Arabidopsis thaliana: one gene and its partners. The protein of the gene in region 3 interacts with the protein of the main gene of each other region in a pairwise test. Each region holds a gene or a part of one and is shown on either strand. Other genes may lie near its edges.

Region 1 (5,029 bases), about 22 Mb from region 3:
TGCAACACCTAAACATAGGAGGAACATTTATAACCGATGAGTCTCTTTTCGCAATTGCAGAACGCTGCCATCAGCTTAAGGTAACAACAATCATCTAACCAAATAATTCTCTCTAGATTCATGAGAATCACGCTTTCGAAATTGGAATCCTTTATGCAGACAATCGGAATGTGGTGTTGCCGTCATGTGACAGAGAGAGGCCTTCTTGTTCTTGTAAACAAATGCAGAAAACTCGAATCCATCAACTTATGGGGAACTAGAGTTCCTGTAGATTGCTTCATTGCTTTACTTACCATCAGTCCTGCTCTTCAGATCAAACCCATGGAATTGCTTCTCAATGCTCAGAATCCACCACCGTTGCTGCATGCTGTCTAGTGTTGCTCATCATATTTCTTGTTTGTTGTGTACATAGTAATTCATACAATTGAATCTGCATATATCTTATGTGTTCTCTCATCAATCAACAACATATATATATAAATATTCAGTAAAGTTTCTATTGGAGTAGAATTGTGTCTATATATATATATATATAAGTTGCATAACAATCAACAGAAGCTGAAGACACACATACACAAGATTTCTGCCTATAGCTCTGCAGTCTACAATACAAGAATCAAATCAGAAACTCTTTCTAAGGCAATTCATGTCAACTTAGGCTCTCTCATTCGTTCTAAAGAAGTGATCAAGATTCTCTAACCTAAGAATCTCTCCACGTGGTTTGATTGGTTGTGTCATAGTAGAAATATCAGCAACGGAAGCAATGAGAAGCAGAAGACAACAATGTTGTTTAGTTGGGCCACAGAAGCTAAAGATCTTGAGAACTGAACTGAACCTGAGTAGCTTCCACCTGAGTTGCTTCCAGCCGTTGAATCCATGCTTGGAGTTCTTGTCTGTACAGTAACATTTTTGCATGAACCATAAGCTGCTCCTGGCTGCAACATCAAGAACCAAAATACGGGTGCCGGTTTTAGATAATTTAGGCTTGTAAGATCTTATTTCATACCCATAAGTAACTTTGGCGCGAGTTAATAAGTTAATACCTGGCAAGCAGAAAGAGTTTCACAACCGCAAAGTACCGGTCCATTCATTCTATCCAGAATTTCGAAAACGCCGCCTCCATCACTTCTCTGCAATATTATGGTTTGTTAGCTAGATCTCGTAAAAACAGTCATATTATAGTTATATGATTGATTCAGTACCATGTAGAAGTTAACAGCAAGAAAGTTTGGCATTCTATTCCCTCCTGACTTGAGACAAGTCCCAACCATCTCAGCAAGTGGAGCTGAGTGCTCCTTGCAAGCGTCTTTCTCAACCGGATATGTCGGGAAGTAATTCATCAAGAATAGCGAAGAACTTTTTGAATTTAAAGGTTGAGACTCTTTTCTGTTAGGACAAGAACCTCGCTTCACTCCGGGATCCCCAGCTTTAGACAATCATAAGAAAATGGCAAGAGAAGGTTATTCTCAGAGACAATTTTCATTAAAGATATAAACTGTGTGTAATACGCACATTCATTTTCAACCATGTATCTCCACTGATACGCAACGCCTTCTTCATCTTCTTTGGCAGCAACAGAAGTGAAAACCAGGAGCCTATGATTCTCTTGCACCATGTCAGTCACAGTAGGCCAATCTTCTCCCTTTCTAGGCATTTTCGAAACAGGGAACCAGTATTTGTCCAAACCAGCGTTGGCAAACAGTGTTGATAAGCCTTTAGGTCTGTGCACATAATCCTCTATTATGATGGTAACAATCTCTGTTGGGTTTTGACTCAGAAATGCCTCAACTTCCCTCAGTATGTTAATTGCAGGTTGCTGATTCAAAAAGAAAACAAAGTTCACATTTACCAATCCAATCAGGTTTCAAGCTTTCGATCCAGCAAGGTTAAGCTGAAGATAAAACTTACAAAAGCGGTGAAGTTGAAACATTGCCCTCGAAGCGAATGGCAAAGCCAGATATCATTGTTGAAGTCATACATATCCAGCATTAGCCCTCTAACTCCATTCTAGAACAAAAATATACATTCAAGAGTTTTATCCAAAAAAAGAGGAAACTATAATAAGAGAGTTGGTAATAAGAGCATTACTTGTAGCTGATTAGTAATAGTATCTTCTTGATTGTAAAATGTAATCCTCTCAACACCTGGCAAAAGTGGTGCATTTGCATTGCTAAAGGCATTATGAGTCATCAACCATGTATACTTGTTAAAAGGCAATCCATTGATCTACAAAAAACACACACACAAATTTCATCACCACATCTTCAAAGTTCAAAACTTTTGATACAACCAAATGATCTAGACTATCTTTTAATGCAACCAAATGAAATCTTCAGCAAAACCCATCTTCAAAGTTCAAAACTTTTGATAGACCAAGTGATCTAGACTATCTTTTGAAACAACGCATCTTCAAAAATTGGAAACTCTAGAGAAATCCAACTAATTATAGGAACTAAATCTCACAATGGAAGTTGGACTTGTGGCTTGGCCTCTTGTGCAGACGGGTTTACTTCTTCCAACGGCAGGACAGTCTCCACAGTATAAACCAGAGACACAATCAGTAGCCGAGGAGCATGAATCCAGCAGCTGAAAGAGACACAAAAATGCAAAATCCCTAAAGATTTAGACCCAAATTTGATAGCCATAAACCAGAGAATAATAAGCAAAGAGAATCAAGAACCTGGCAATTTCCATTGGAGCAAGCTGAGGAAAAAGAGAAAGAAAGAAGAAGAAGAAGAAGAGAGACAGTCACGGCTCTGCATAAGCCATTGATGCACGCCGACATCGCTCCGTAGCTTATGCAGAGATAGAGAGAGAGATATGAATGATGTTGGATCTACTTGGGGGGGTTTTCAAAGACGAGACAAAGAGATGTTTAGGTACTAAAACCCGGGCTTCATCGATTTGTTTTGTTAATCCTTGAAAGAGAGGTACAAAAGAAAAAGATTAGCTTTGGTTTTCTTTTTCTAAGACAAGGTTGAATCTTTTTCCCACCTAGCTCCTAGAGAGAAAATGAAGAAACGATTAGTAAAGAAGATAAACCACCTTTCAAAAGGAGTTCAATTTTGAGCATAATACAGTTTAACATTATAATAACATAACTCAAAACTACAGTTTCTAGTCTTGTACACCAAACATATGGAGTGACATTTTTGTCAAGATTTATGGAAACAGTGATCTTGTAAGAGTTTATCAATATAAGTAATAATGGTTTTATATTATTTCTTCTAGTTGTTAGGTGAGGTCTATCATAAAAAAAAAAAAAATTATTTCACAGATCACTATTTTCATTCTCTAAAATTTGCTCAGTTATAAGATTTTTTCACCTATTATTAGATGAAGATATCTTTTTTCTATTATGGTTAACGGTGCTCACATGCGTGGGGACACTCTTGTCTTGTTGCTTGTCTCTTTGCTTCTTTCAATGAAAAATGTTACAATTTTCATCATCTTACAAAAATTACTCAAACATCTAGGTGAAATTTTATTCTTAACGAGATTTATCATACCATGCCTATTTCATCTGCAGATTCGTCAGCAAGTGACGTATCGAATTAGTGACACTCTTAACGATCAAATGATTAATTTCCATTAAACCAAAAAAAAAAATGATTGATTTCCATAACCGATTTATTCACAATTGGTGATTTAACACACAAGTTGCTGTAATATACTCTTGATGTGTTTTTAACTTGAGATTTTTTTTTTAATACACAAAAAAAAAAAAAAACTTTTGTAGTTTGGACATTTACGTCCATTGAGTATGACGTCGTCGTCGTGTAAATTCTCTCTCTGCCTCTCGCTATAACGCTAGGCCCATTTACGTATTTTACTGAGCCTTTTTAGTTGGACCCAAACTCTCTCTTTTTAAGCCCATGACCCAAGTAATGTAATTAATCATCTTGTGAACTTGTAAATGAGGAAAACAAGATGCATATCTCCGGTTTAAAAAGCGTTTTAATGACGTTGAAAGCAAATATACAAAGCCAAAACATAAAATTTCCTTCCTTTTTTTGTTGAAAGCAACATTTATTATTTTTTGTACTTATTCACTCTAAAATGATATTTTTCCATTGAAGAAAATTCAATAAAGAAATGTTTTTCTATAAAAAACCAATTCAACTGTATTAGAGCTATAATTAAAACAGAATCCTTATTTTCAATAAAATAAATCTTCCGAATCCAGCTAAAGTTCCATTTTTATTAGCTGTCACAATTTTTTTAATTGAATTTTTAACATTTTGGGACTTCAAACTACCCAACAATTGTAAATCAGTGGTCTTTTTCTCCTTGAACTTTTTTTTGGTATAAACCTTTTTTCCTTAAAGTTGCTAAATCCTTTTATCCATGGAGGCACTGAAAAGTGGGTTATATGCATTATTTATCGTTTAAGCCTTAATTTGGTATATATATTTTTCCTTTAACTGAGCTACAATATATTTAGTGGTTTTTCTTTGTTCATAACGTCTTTATTTTTTCTATTACTTTATCAATATTAAGACTATCCTGTCCACTCAAGTATTTGCATTTGAATGGAAGAGTTAAATGGTGATGATACTTGAAAGTGTTAATTATCTATATAAATTCAGCTTAATCTAGCCCCTTGAAAAAAAATTTTGAGTCAGGTAATATGTTTCTCCAAAAGTATGGATCCAAACGAAGACAATTCTGAGATACCGGATAGTCCTTTTAGCTTCATGTGGCTACTATTTGGAGACGACTGGGATCTATGGGACACTTACTCACCAGTTGATGCTGATGACATCTCACCAGATCCAACGCTTGATGTGAACGGTGATGGTCCGGCAATAGAGCCCGGTTCCCTTCTGAGGACAATTAGTTGGGTAATTATCTATTATCTAATGTTTTTTTTAAGAGAAATAATTTATTTGGATATAATATAGACATGAAAATTGTTTAGGAAACAACGTTCGAGCAGGACTCGTTACAATCATGGAACGATGAACAATCTGAAACAACATCAGTAGTAGAGTATACAGATGTATCTTCTCATGGAAACACCTTCACT
Region 2 (6,535 bases), on a different chromosome or scaffold from region 3:
TTTCGAAACTGGGTTTTCTTAGATCTTGTCAATTGGAATTAATTTTAGTGAGTCTGGTAGTTAACGATAGATTTGGGTGATGGTTTGTGTTTGAACGTTCTCCTTTTCCTGCTTAAGCATGAACCTTACTTAATCAAGCTCTGTAATGCTGGCATTTATTTTGGTGAATATATTGATTCAATGTTTCTTTATCTCTCTGAGTGATCTGTATTTGAAGTCGTAAAATTTTGTTTATCTTTCATCGGTTTTTAGGATGGGAATCCCAGGTTGTCTTGCTTTGGACTCATGAAAAGTAGCAGAGATGGGAAGAGTTATATAGCACTAACTTGGCATTTACTCCTACAGAGAAATTTGCTAACGGGTAAAACTCTCTCTGCTTCATGTTTATATATGTCCAAAATATTTCAGGGCACAAAGTTCCCAAAGCTAAATCCACTTTCTTCATCTTGTGTCAGGTAGAGTTACACCAGAGAGTGTATTATGTTTTCAGTTTTGGAACCGTTTTGCTCGATCTCATTAGTGGAAAACATATTCCACCGAGCCATGTAAGTTCTCTACTAATAGAAGATATATAAACTTTAGATGTAATGTAGGACCTGGCTCTTTGTTTCTTGCTGGATAGTTCTTGGAAGGAATCTCTAGTTCAGTCCTTACTAAAATCTAAATGATGATCATCATCGTTTTTCCTGCCTCATTCTTTCTCAGACATCCTTTGGTGATGATGCATGCTTAAGAGTGAATCTTACAGCCATACAGGAAATACTGCTTAAGAATGGATCTTACAGCCATACAGGAAATACTTAGTAAGATTGGATACAAGGAATTGCCATTGAGGTGTTAATCTATTCCTTCCTCTCGCTTACTACTTAGTCTTTTGCATTAGGGACTTGTTTTGAATATGATTTTATTTACCTTCTTCTGCAGCTCTCGTTTCAAATGTGGACAACCCAGATGCAGGAATCTCTCTTTTCAAAGAAGCAAGGGGACTTAGCTTTCCGATCCAAAGATTTTACAACCGCAATCGATTGCTACACTCAGGTAATATCTCTAAATGCAACATACCTCTTTAATTACATGCCAAGAGCCATCATAGGGCTAGACATTCAGTCATCATAGGGCTACACATAACTGGAATGATTCATGGGCCGAAAAGGATGAAAAAAGTTTGTATGGTTCCTTGTATTGAAAGACATCTAAATACAAAAATTTGATTTTTGTCCCTTATGAACCTTAACCATTGGAGGACTATTTTTATAAGATACTCTCATTTTGTTCTTAGCTTAGAAATAACAAAACTTTAATAGAAATAATTGTTAAGATCCAAGGTTAACCATTAGAGATGCTCTTAGTTTACATGTCTAATCTGGGATCCAAAAAGACATAGTAGCAAAAAAAAAATTTAAAGCTTGTAACTGATTTCATTTAAAGAAAATTTCATGCTTTATTTATTAATTACACTACTATATGATTTAATTTAATAATTATGTCAATCAAATTGAAGTTACATCAAAAGAGGGACCAGAGAGAAAGAGTTTCGTGAGCAGCTAAAAACCAAAGTGGGGAAGTCTTCTTTCTTAGTCGTCGTTACTAAAACACAAATAGTTTATTTGGCATTTGTGTTTAAGTAAAGATGAAACATCTTATATATGTGTCATTAATGGCTAAAGTTAGACGATTCCACAACGGCAGCCAAAAATCCTTGAAATTTTCCGATTCTTCCGTTTCAAGTCAACGTTTTCCTTCGCTCCCTCTCACCTTCTTCTTCACAAAAACCTGAACTTTAATTTGAATTTGCCCATATTTTTAGATCCACATTTATTCATTGATTTGCTCTGAGTTTGTATTATCTCAAAGTTTTATCCTTTTGTTGAATCTTGATCTCTCGATTATTCCCCACCAAGCACCAAGTGATCGATCTTTTGTCTCACTGAACTGGGTTATGCTTGAGATTTGATCTGACAACTAAGAGTTTCCTACTTTTGCGTTTTGAGTTTTGTTTTTCATGGCGTATCATCCAGTTTATAACGAGACTATGTCTATGGGAGGAGGGTCAAGCAACGAGTTTGGCCAGTGGCTTGACAAGCAACTCGTGCCGTTTGATACAAGTAGTGGCTCTTTGAGGGTTGAATTATTACATGGTAACTTAGACATTTGGGTTAAGGAAGCTAAACATCTTCCTAACATGGATGGTTTCCATAACACCCTTGTTGGTGGGATGTTTTTTGGGTTAGGTCGGAGGAATCATAAAGTGGATGGTGAGAATTCTTCTAAGATCACAAGTGATCCTTATGTTACTGTCTCTATCTCTGGTGCTGTGATTGGTAGAACTTTTGTTATTAGCAATAGTGAGAATCCTGTGTGGATGCAGCATTTTGATGTACCAGTTGCTCATAGTGCTGCGAAAGTTCACTTTGTTGTGAAAGACAGTGATATTATTGGATCACAGATCATTGGAGCTGTTGAAATCCCAACCGAGCAGTTGTGTTCCGGGAATAGAATCGAAGGGCTGTTTCCGATACTTAACAGTAGAGGAAAGCCTTGTAAACAAGGTGCTGTGTTGAGTCTGTCTATTCAGTATATTCCAATGGAAAGAATGAGACTTTACCAAAAGGGTGTTGGTTTTGGTGTTGAATGTGTAGGAGTTCCCGGTACATACTTCCCTTTAAGGAAAGGCGGTAGGGTTACTCTTTATCAGGATGCTCATGTTGATGACGGTACTCTTCCGAGTGTACATCTTGATGGTGGGATTCAGTATAGACATGGAAAATGCTGGGAAGATATGGCTGATGCGATACGACGGGCAAGGAGGTTGATTTATATCACAGGTTGGTCAGTTTTCCATCCGGTTAGGCTGGTTCGTCGTAACAATGATCCGACCCAAGGTACATTAGGAGAGTTGCTTAAAGTCAAATCTCAAGAAGGTGTTAGAGTGTTGGTTTTGGTGTGGGATGATCCAACTTCAAGGAGTCTTTTGGGATTCAGTACAGTAAGAATCTACATAACTCTGTTTTTTTCTGATTAAGACATTCTATTATTGCTTACCCATAAAATCAAACATGTATATATATATATATATAATTTTATGGAGTGCCTCTCTGTTTTGTTTCTCCATTTTGATTTATAGCTTATCACTTAAATAATTCTATGGAGTGCCTCTCTGTTTGTACACAGTTTTGAATGGTCTAATGTGTTGTTCTTAACTTCTCACATAGTCACATATTTGGTTGTTTCAGTTGCATTTCATACTTTCCTCTATTGTTTCAGTTCTGACCCTTTTTCTGTTTATCTTATTGGAAAGCATGAGTTTGCTTCAATTAGATAATTATACTAACTTAGCTACAATCCTTCTATCTATTTAATTAAAAGCTGGTGTTTTGTTGCATGTAGAAAGGACTTATGAACACAAGCGATGAGGAGACTCGCCGTTTTTTCAAGCACTCATCGGTGCAAGTTCTCCTTTGTCCTAGATATGGAGGGAAAGGTCACAGCTTCATAAAAAAATCTGTAAGATGCTCATTAGTTACTTCATTACTGTGTAAACTCTTGTGTGTATAGCTTCAGCGTCTAAAATTTGAGTGTCATTATGATGATCAGGAAGTTGAAACAATCTACACGCATCATCAGAAAACTATGATTGTAGATGCTGAAGCAGCTCAGAACCGAAGAAAGATTGTAGCATTTGTTGGAGGGCTAGACTTGTGCAACGGACGATTTGATACTCCCAAGCATCCTCTCTTCAGGACATTAAAGACAATCCATAAAGATGACTTCCATAACCCAAATTTTGTGGTAATCATTTAAGAAAAAACCTGCTTGGTTGCAATTTTGGAATTAGAATCCGCTATTCTTGATCCATGTAAATTCTGTTTTTCTTATTAGACTACTGCGGATGATGGACCAAGAGAACCATGGCATGATCTGCACAGCAAGATTGATGGTCCAGCTGCATATGATGTGCTTGCTAATTTTGAGGAACGCTGGATGAAGGCTTCAAAACCTCGCGGAATTGGGAGACTAAGAACTTCTTCTGATGATTCTTTGCTTAGGTTAGACAGAATTCCTGACATAATGGGACTTTCCGAAGCTTCTTCTGCTAATGATAATGATCCAGAGTCTTGGCATGTTCAGGTAATTTAGCAAGTCTAATTTTTTTGCTAGTTATTGTTATTTGTGGTGGTGACAAAAAGAATCTCATTTTTTCTCCAATGATATTAATCTTTAGGTTTTCCGTTCAATTGATTCGAGTTCAGTTAAAGGGTTTCCAAAGGACCCAAAGGAAGCTACTGGAAGAGTAAGATAGCACCACAACTCTGAGCTGTTTTTGTTTGTCATCATGTTGCTATCTCCGACTGATTATGTATTCATGAACAGAACCTTCTATGTGGGAAGAACATTCTCATAGATATGAGCATACATGCAGCTTATGTTAAAGCCATACGATCTGCTCAGCACTTCATTTACATTGAAAACCAATATTTTCTTGGATCATCATTCAATTGGGATTCAAACAAGAACTTGGGTAAGAAACTTTAAAGCTTTTGAAGGAAAGCTTAGTAATCGATGCGTACAATATGTAAACAAGGAGTTTTGGCATTGCAGGTGCGAATAATCTAATCCCGATGGAAATCGCGCTGAAGATTGCTAACAAAATTAGAGCAAGGGAAAAGTTTGCTGCTTATATTGTCATTCCAATGTGGCCAGAAGGTGCTCCAACAAGTAATCCTATTCAAAGAATTCTCTACTGGCAGGTAAAATAATTTTTTGATTCTTTGCTAAAAACAACCCGATCTCACCTTCTTTTTACCGGAATTTTTCACAACCTCTGCAGCACAAAACCATGCAAATGATGTATCAAACCATCTACAAGGCACTTGTGGAAGTTGGTCTTGATGGCCAGCTTGAGCCACAAGACTTTTTGAACTTTTTCTGTCTTGGAACCAGAGAGGTTGGAACCAGAGAGGTTCCTGATGGAACTGTTAGCGTATATAATAGTCCTCGGAAGCCACCTCAGCTAAATGCTGCACAGGTATACATATATTAAATGTCTTCTTTTGAAATCTTCGATTTTGCCTTAATGGGTTCGCTTACTGATTAAAACGACAAACCAATCTAGGTACAAGCTTTGAAGAGTCGGAGATTCATGATATATGTTCATTCCAAAGGTATGGTAGTGGATGATGAGTTTGTCTTAATTGGTTCCGCGAATATCAACCAGAGATCCTTGGAAGGAACTAGAGACACTGAAATCGCTATGGGAGGGTATCAGCCACACCATTCATGGGCTAAGAAAGGTTCTCGTCCTCGTGGTCAGGTAAATAAGACTTTCAGAGACTTCTACTTCTCAATCTAGGATAGCATTCTAAGACGAAAATCTAGAAACCCACCAATGTATGTTCTCTTTAACATGTCTGAACCCTGGTTTGTCTCAATTTCTTGCAGATCTTTGGATATAGAATGTCGTTATGGGCAGAACATCTAGGGTTTCTAGAGCAAGAATTCGAGGAACCAGAGAACATGGAATGCGTGAGACGAGTTAGGCAATTGAGTGAGCTGAATTGGAGACAATATGCAGCGGAAGAAGTCACAGAGATGCCAGGTCATCTTCTTAAGTATCCAGTTCAAGTTGATAGAACAGGCAAAGTGAGTTCTCTTCCTGGATACGAGACATTCCCAGATCTCGGTGGCAAGATCATAGGATCGTTCCTTGTAGTAGAAGAAAACCTCACCATATGAAACTTACCTTGTAGGCTTGTAGTGATCAACATTTGTTCTTTATTTCCTTCACTTCAAGAAATCTATCTGAGTGTGATCTGATTGAAAGTGTGCCTTTAGGGTCTAGTTTTTCAAATTTATGAGCTGTAAATCTATTTATTACAATATTTCAATTGATCTATCAAAGTGTGTGTTGTGGATTTTTACTATATGATTTAATTTAGTAATGTTGTCATATCTTTAGTACTATATGATTACAATATCACATTGGCTTGTAGAAAATGAAAAATGTCATCCTGAAAGAGCTTTTGCCAAATCATTCATAAGATCATGCATCACAAAGCTTGTCATGGTGATATCCAATCTCTGAAAAAAAGATTTGAGCAAACTAAATCACCAAGGTAATTTTTCCAATCTTGTGCTGCTCCTTGGTTGGTATAAGAGGTCTATTGCCATCCATAGCAGCAGTAATTGAGCAGAGGGCAAAGCATCGCTTAAGTTGAGGAGGAAGAGAGTCATAGCTTGGTTTAAGTACTGGAAGGATACTGTTAGTGTAGCTTGAGAAATTCTTTGATGCAATGGCTCGTTCAAGACCTTACACTGTTCTGCAATCCTTTTCCCAATTCCTTCTAGTTCTTGGTTGATTATATTTCCAAAAGGAAATCTAGAGATCAGCTCCCAACATTCTTCATTTGGTAGATTTTTTCATCCTTTGCTACTGTGGAGACAATTTCACTTGATGTGGTTAGAACAATCTTGCTTCCTTCCTCAAGAAACTTTCCCATTCTGAATCTCAGACCAAAAATCATCCAGAGCAACAGGT
Region 3 (4,750 bases):
TTATATCTAATATAGTTTAGACTATGCGGTGATCATTAACTTGAAGATTTGAGATGCTGCAGGATTTGCGAGTAGGAACTGGGCCTATAGCAAAAAAGGGAGACAAAGTTGTGGTAAGGAAATTTCTGCATATCTATGGTTTTGTATCCTTGGTCTCAAGTTTATCTAGAAGTTTGCTCTGGTTAGAGAGTTTGGAGTTTGCTTTGCTTGTATCTATGTTAGCAAATTAATGTTTCAAAGACCATAGGTTTTGCTAGTAGTTATAAATAATTGAAGCTGGGTATGTTAGGTTGACTGGGACGGTTACACAATAGGGTACTATGGACGCATATTTGAAGCTCGCAATAAAACAAAAGGGGGTTCTTTTGAGGTATAAACACGTTTTGGCTCTTTTTTTTTTTGTTTCATTAGCTACAATGATACAGTCCTTAATCTTTGTTTTCTTTTTGTGAATCTGTAGGGCGATGATAAGGAATTTTTCAAATTTACCTTAGGATCCAATGAGGTGGGCGAAATTCCAAGTCCTTCTAGTTGCTATATGGGTTTTACCGGTTTAAAGAATGGATTTTGTTACTGATTGTATGAATTGTTTCTTTCTGGATGCTGCATGATTTTGGTGTTCCAGGTGATACCTGCTTTTGAGGAGGCTGTCTCTGGGATGGCTCTCGGTGGTATCAGAAGGTTCAACATCTTTCTAATATTTCTAACTCTACACATCCTCCATATGTTTTTCATATAGAACTCACTCTTCACACAAATGGTAGACGGTAGAATGAATCAGTGTAAATAATTAGCTTGGTATTGCAGGATAATTGTACCGCCAGAACTAGGATACCCGGATAATGACTACAACAAGAGTGGGCCGAGGCCGATGACTTTCTCTGTGAGCCTTATGTTTGTTTTATGTAAACATGTATAAGAAAGACATAAGTTTTAAATGTTGTCTCTTTATGTTTGCGCAGGGACAACGTGCATTAGATTTTGTGCTGAGGAACCAAGGGCTCATAGACAAGACACTTCTCTTTGATGTTGAACTCCTCAAAATTGTACCCAATTGATGTAACATCGACAGTCTTAACTCACGTACATATATATTTATTTATGATGTGTATACTACATTGGCACATTTGTGTAAATTGAGCTCAGTTTATATCATATAATGTTAGCTCTTTTTAGGAGTGTTAAAAAAAAAAATAGCCATGCATCACCAACTAACTGTTCATCATGTTAATTCTGCTTCCTCTTTTTAGTTATATTATCCCTTATAGTGAGGTAAGTTATTATAACATTTCATAGAAAGTTTAGAATAAAATGAAATGTGAACACAAAAACCAGTGTAAGCAGCTTCTGTTGTTTTGACTTTATTGAGTAGCCAATGTTGGTTCAATGTCAGAGTCATCATTAATGGAGACTGCAAAAATAAAAGAACAAGTTGCAGTGACGCATTGTAGAAGTCCTTCAATGAGTTTATGTCTTTCAAGGACAAAACATATCAAATGAATCCACATTTCTCTAAATAAGTCCTTTCTTGAACGTTGAAACTGTGGACATCATGGGAGTCCACGTGCAATAAATGCCAGTCCTATATCTACCACTTACCAGCTAAGCTCCGTCTATTTAATTCCATCTTCCCATTTTAAGCTACTGCATTTATACATTTCTCTAACCAATCCTCATACATCCTTTTCTGCTTACAGATTTTGTTTGGCTGGATTAATTATTTCATTTATTAACTTAAGCTCTCTTGCTGTTTTTGGTCACTCTGATGCTTTCAGTTTCCATGGTTTTATGAGAAAATATCATTGATTATGGTTGCTTCTGAGATTAAATCCCCGGTGAGTGTCCCCGAGACTCCGGGAAGCTCCTCTGTGCATCATAGGAAGCAGTTGAGTGTGTTCTTCATAGAATCAGATAACAGACGTCTTGCTCTTGGCCGTGGCTATACCGGAGGAACCACTCCCGTTAACATCCATGGCAAACCCATCGCCAATCTTTCCAAAACCGGTGGTTGGATCGCAGCTTTCTTCATTTTTGGTAACTTTCTTTTCACTTACATCTAGATTATCAGTAGTTCTACGTGCAGTGCAGCTTAGTTTTGGTGGAATGGTTGCAATGTTTTAGGAAATGAAATGGCAGAGAGAATGGCGTATTTCGGACTCTCGGTGAACATGGTGGCGTTCATGTTCTACGTAATGCATAGGCCTTTTGAAAGTTCATCAAACGCAGTCAACAACTTCCTTGGCATCTCTCAAGCCTCCTCTGTTCTTGGAGGCTTCTTAGCCGACGCTTACTTGGGTCGATACTGGACTATTGCCATCTTCACTACCATGTATCTTGTCGTAAGTAGTACTGTTTTGTTCTCTGTATTTTGTTTATTTATTTATTTATGACTTATGGTTAAGGTCTTGTGCAAATGGTGCAATTTGAAGAACATCGTCTAATACGCAAGACCGAACATATGTTATGTGATGGATACTTTGAAATCTTTTCTTTTCTTTTGTTTTGCATGTGAAAAGGGTTTGATAGGAATAACATTGGGGGCAAGTTTGAAGATGTTCGTACCAGACCAGAGCAACTGTGGCCAGTTATCATTGCTCTTAGGAAATTGTGAAGAAGCCAAATCTTGGCAAATGCTTTATCTCTACACGGTTCTCTACATAACCGGATTCGGAGCTGCTGGTATAAGGCCATGTGTTTCCTCATTTGGTGCTGACCAGTTTGATGAGAAGAGCAAAGACTACAAGACACATTTAGACCGTTTCTTCAACTTCTTCTATCTATCGGTCACTTTAGGCGCAATCATTGCCTTCACTTTGGTGGTATATGTTCAAATGGAACTTGGTTGGGGTATGGCTTTTGGCACATTGGCCGTAGCCATGGGGATTTCTAATGCTTTGTTCTTTGCTGGTACACCGCTTTATCGGCATAGGTTGCCTGGTGGTAGTCCCTTGACTAGGGTAGCTCAGGTCTTAGTTGCCGCTTTCCGCAAACGAAATGCAGCTTTCACAAGCAGTGAGTTCATCGGTCTTTACGAAGTTCCTGGCTTGAAATCTGCTATTAATGGCAGTCGTAAAATCCCTCATTCCAATGATTTCATGTAAGGCTTCTTCTTTTGTGTACATCTTCCTATAAGGAAAATAAAACTTAATACTAGTATTTATCAGTCGAATGAATTCATATGCAGATGGCTAGACAAGGCGGCACTTGAGTTGAAAGAAGATGGATTGGAACCATCTCCATGGAAGCTATGCACAGTAACACAAGTAGAGGAAGTGAAGATTCTGATCAGATTGATTCCAATCCCAACATGCACTATAATGCTGAGTCTGGTCTTGACTGAGTATCTTACACTCTCAGTGCAACAAGCTTACACACTCAACACACACATTCAACACCTCAAGCTTCCAGTGACCTGCATGCCAGTTTTCCCAGGCCTAAGCATTTTCCTCATTCTCTCCCTTTATTACTCTGTCTTCGTCCCTATCACCAGAAGAATCACTGGCAATCCTCATGGTGCTTCCCAGCTTCAAAGAGTGGGCATAGGGCTAGCAGTTTCAATCATATCAGTAGCTTGGGCTGGGCTATTCGAGAACTACAGGAGACATTACGCGATACAAAATGGTTTTGAGTTCAACTTCTTGACCCAAATGCCTGATCTAACCGCGTACTGGTTGTTAATCCAGTACTGTCTCATCGGAATCGCAGAGGTTTTCTGCATAGTAGGGCTATTGGAGTTCCTTTACGAGGAAGCTCCGGATGCTATGAAGAGTATTGGTTCGGCTTACGCTGCTCTAGCCGGCGGGTTAGGGTGTTTTGCTGCCACCATTTTGAACAATATTGTCAAGGCTGCGACTCGGGACTCAGATGGGAAATCGTGGTTATCGCAGAACATAAACACGGGGAGATTCGACTGCTTGTACTGGTTGCTCACACTTCTGAGCTTTTTGAATTTCTGTGTGTTCCTTTGGTCAGCGCATAGGTACAAGTACCGAGCTATCGAGTCTGAGGAAGACAAGAGTAGTGCTGTTCTTTAAAGACACCACTTCTGTGTTCTCTTCTCGTTATTCTTTTTGATAAAACAGCAGTAATTGTATCATCCTACTTTGCTTTCCTATAGCTAATGTTTAAGGGTGGAAAATCCGCTAAACGTGATTGTTCGTTTGTAAGAAGACCAATAAAATTAAGTTGTTCAAACGTCGTATATTGGCAATTTCCAATGCATCCACTGAGAAACAAAGCTGGGAAATGAAAACACTGTTTCACAAATTCTGTTACAAAAAGGGTCGAAAACATTACTAATCAATCCTACGACTGTCTAAATATACCTCAGCCCTTTCATATATTGTTGCCTAGATATCACATACTGAGCCGCAGAGTAAACAATGCCTAAAACTCCCAGAACCCTAACTTGAAACACGTCTGTTATTATTACGGCTGCAAAGCTAAGTGGCACGGTCAGCATCGGCGACGCGTCTGTGTGTTTGGTGGTGTAACTCCAAACGTACCTGTTGAATATGATGTGACCTGGTGCTGTGAGTATTAGGAGAGCCAGGTTCTTCACCGCAAAAAACCATTCACGGCCTCCAATTTCGACTCCCCAACCTGTGTTTCCACCAAACCAAACTTCTTCCCATACAGTGTAGAGCGAGGATAATGCCAAATATGTTGATATGGCTACTGTAACCGGGAAGTATCTCTGTTTATCACCAAACCCGGATAAGAGATCAGAGTCTTGGTTCAGGAGAAGTAA

Evidence for each region.
Region 1: the proteins of AT5G13400 (region 3) and AT5G67130 interact in a protein complementation assay, tested with the Arabidopsis thaliana proteins (one large-scale study listed by BioGRID).
Region 2: the proteins of AT5G13400 (region 3) and PLDGAMMA3 interact in a protein complementation assay, tested with the Arabidopsis thaliana proteins (one large-scale study listed by BioGRID).

The regions. Positions count from the first base shown.
Region 1 is NC_003076.8:26,789,355-26,794,383, reverse strand, and holds AT5G67130 (PLC-like phosphodiesterases superfamily protein), read right to left. Parts: upstream 3,086-5,029; 5' UTR 2,786-3,085; coding exon 2,681-2,785; intron 2,587-2,680; coding exon 2,464-2,586; intron 2,227-2,463; coding exon 2,089-2,226; intron 2,008-2,088; coding exon 1,909-2,007; intron 1,817-1,908; coding exon 1,513-1,816; intron 1,427-1,512; coding exon 1,203-1,426; intron 1,131-1,202; coding exon 1,044-1,130; intron 936-1,043; coding exon 735-935; 3' UTR 502-734; downstream 1-501. Other genes in the region: AT5G67140 (F-box/RNI-like superfamily protein), read left to right, coding at 1-80, 160-375; AT5G67120 (RING/U-box superfamily protein), read left to right, coding at 4,647-4,844, 4,922-5,029.
Region 2 is NC_003075.7:7,121,350-7,127,884, reverse strand, and holds PLDGAMMA3 (phospholipase D gamma 3), read left to right. Parts: upstream 1-1,567; 5' UTR 1,568-2,002; coding exon 2,003-2,986; intron 2,987-3,387; coding exon 3,388-3,504; intron 3,505-3,594; coding exon 3,595-3,789; intron 3,790-3,879; coding exon 3,880-4,128; intron 4,129-4,222; coding exon 4,223-4,291; intron 4,292-4,371; coding exon 4,372-4,519; intron 4,520-4,599; coding exon 4,600-4,748; intron 4,749-4,828; coding exon 4,829-5,026; intron 5,027-5,113; coding exon 5,114-5,311; intron 5,312-5,439; coding exon 5,440-5,733; 3' UTR 5,734-5,920; downstream 5,921-6,535. Other genes in the region: AT4G11845 (Interleukin-1 receptor-associated kinase 4 protein), read left to right, coding at 253-361, 460-545, 749-834, 925-991. UniProt on the Arabidopsis thaliana protein: Hydrolyzes glycerol-phospholipids at the terminal phosphodiesteric bond to generate phosphatidic acids (PA).
Region 3 is NC_003076.8:4,296,138-4,300,887, reverse strand, and holds AT5G13400 (Major facilitator superfamily protein), read left to right. Parts: upstream 1-1,623; 5' UTR 1,624-1,808; coding exon 1,809-2,034; intron 2,035-2,121; coding exon 2,122-2,339; intron 2,340-2,516; coding exon 2,517-3,097; intron 3,098-3,184; coding exon 3,185-4,034; 3' UTR 4,035-4,200; downstream 4,201-4,750. Other genes in the region: AT5G13410 (FKBP-like peptidyl-prolyl cis-trans isomerase family protein), read left to right, coding at 63-113, 290-370, 461-505, 626-681, 808-883, 963-1,058; NEF1 (no exine formation 1), read right to left, coding at 4,316-4,750.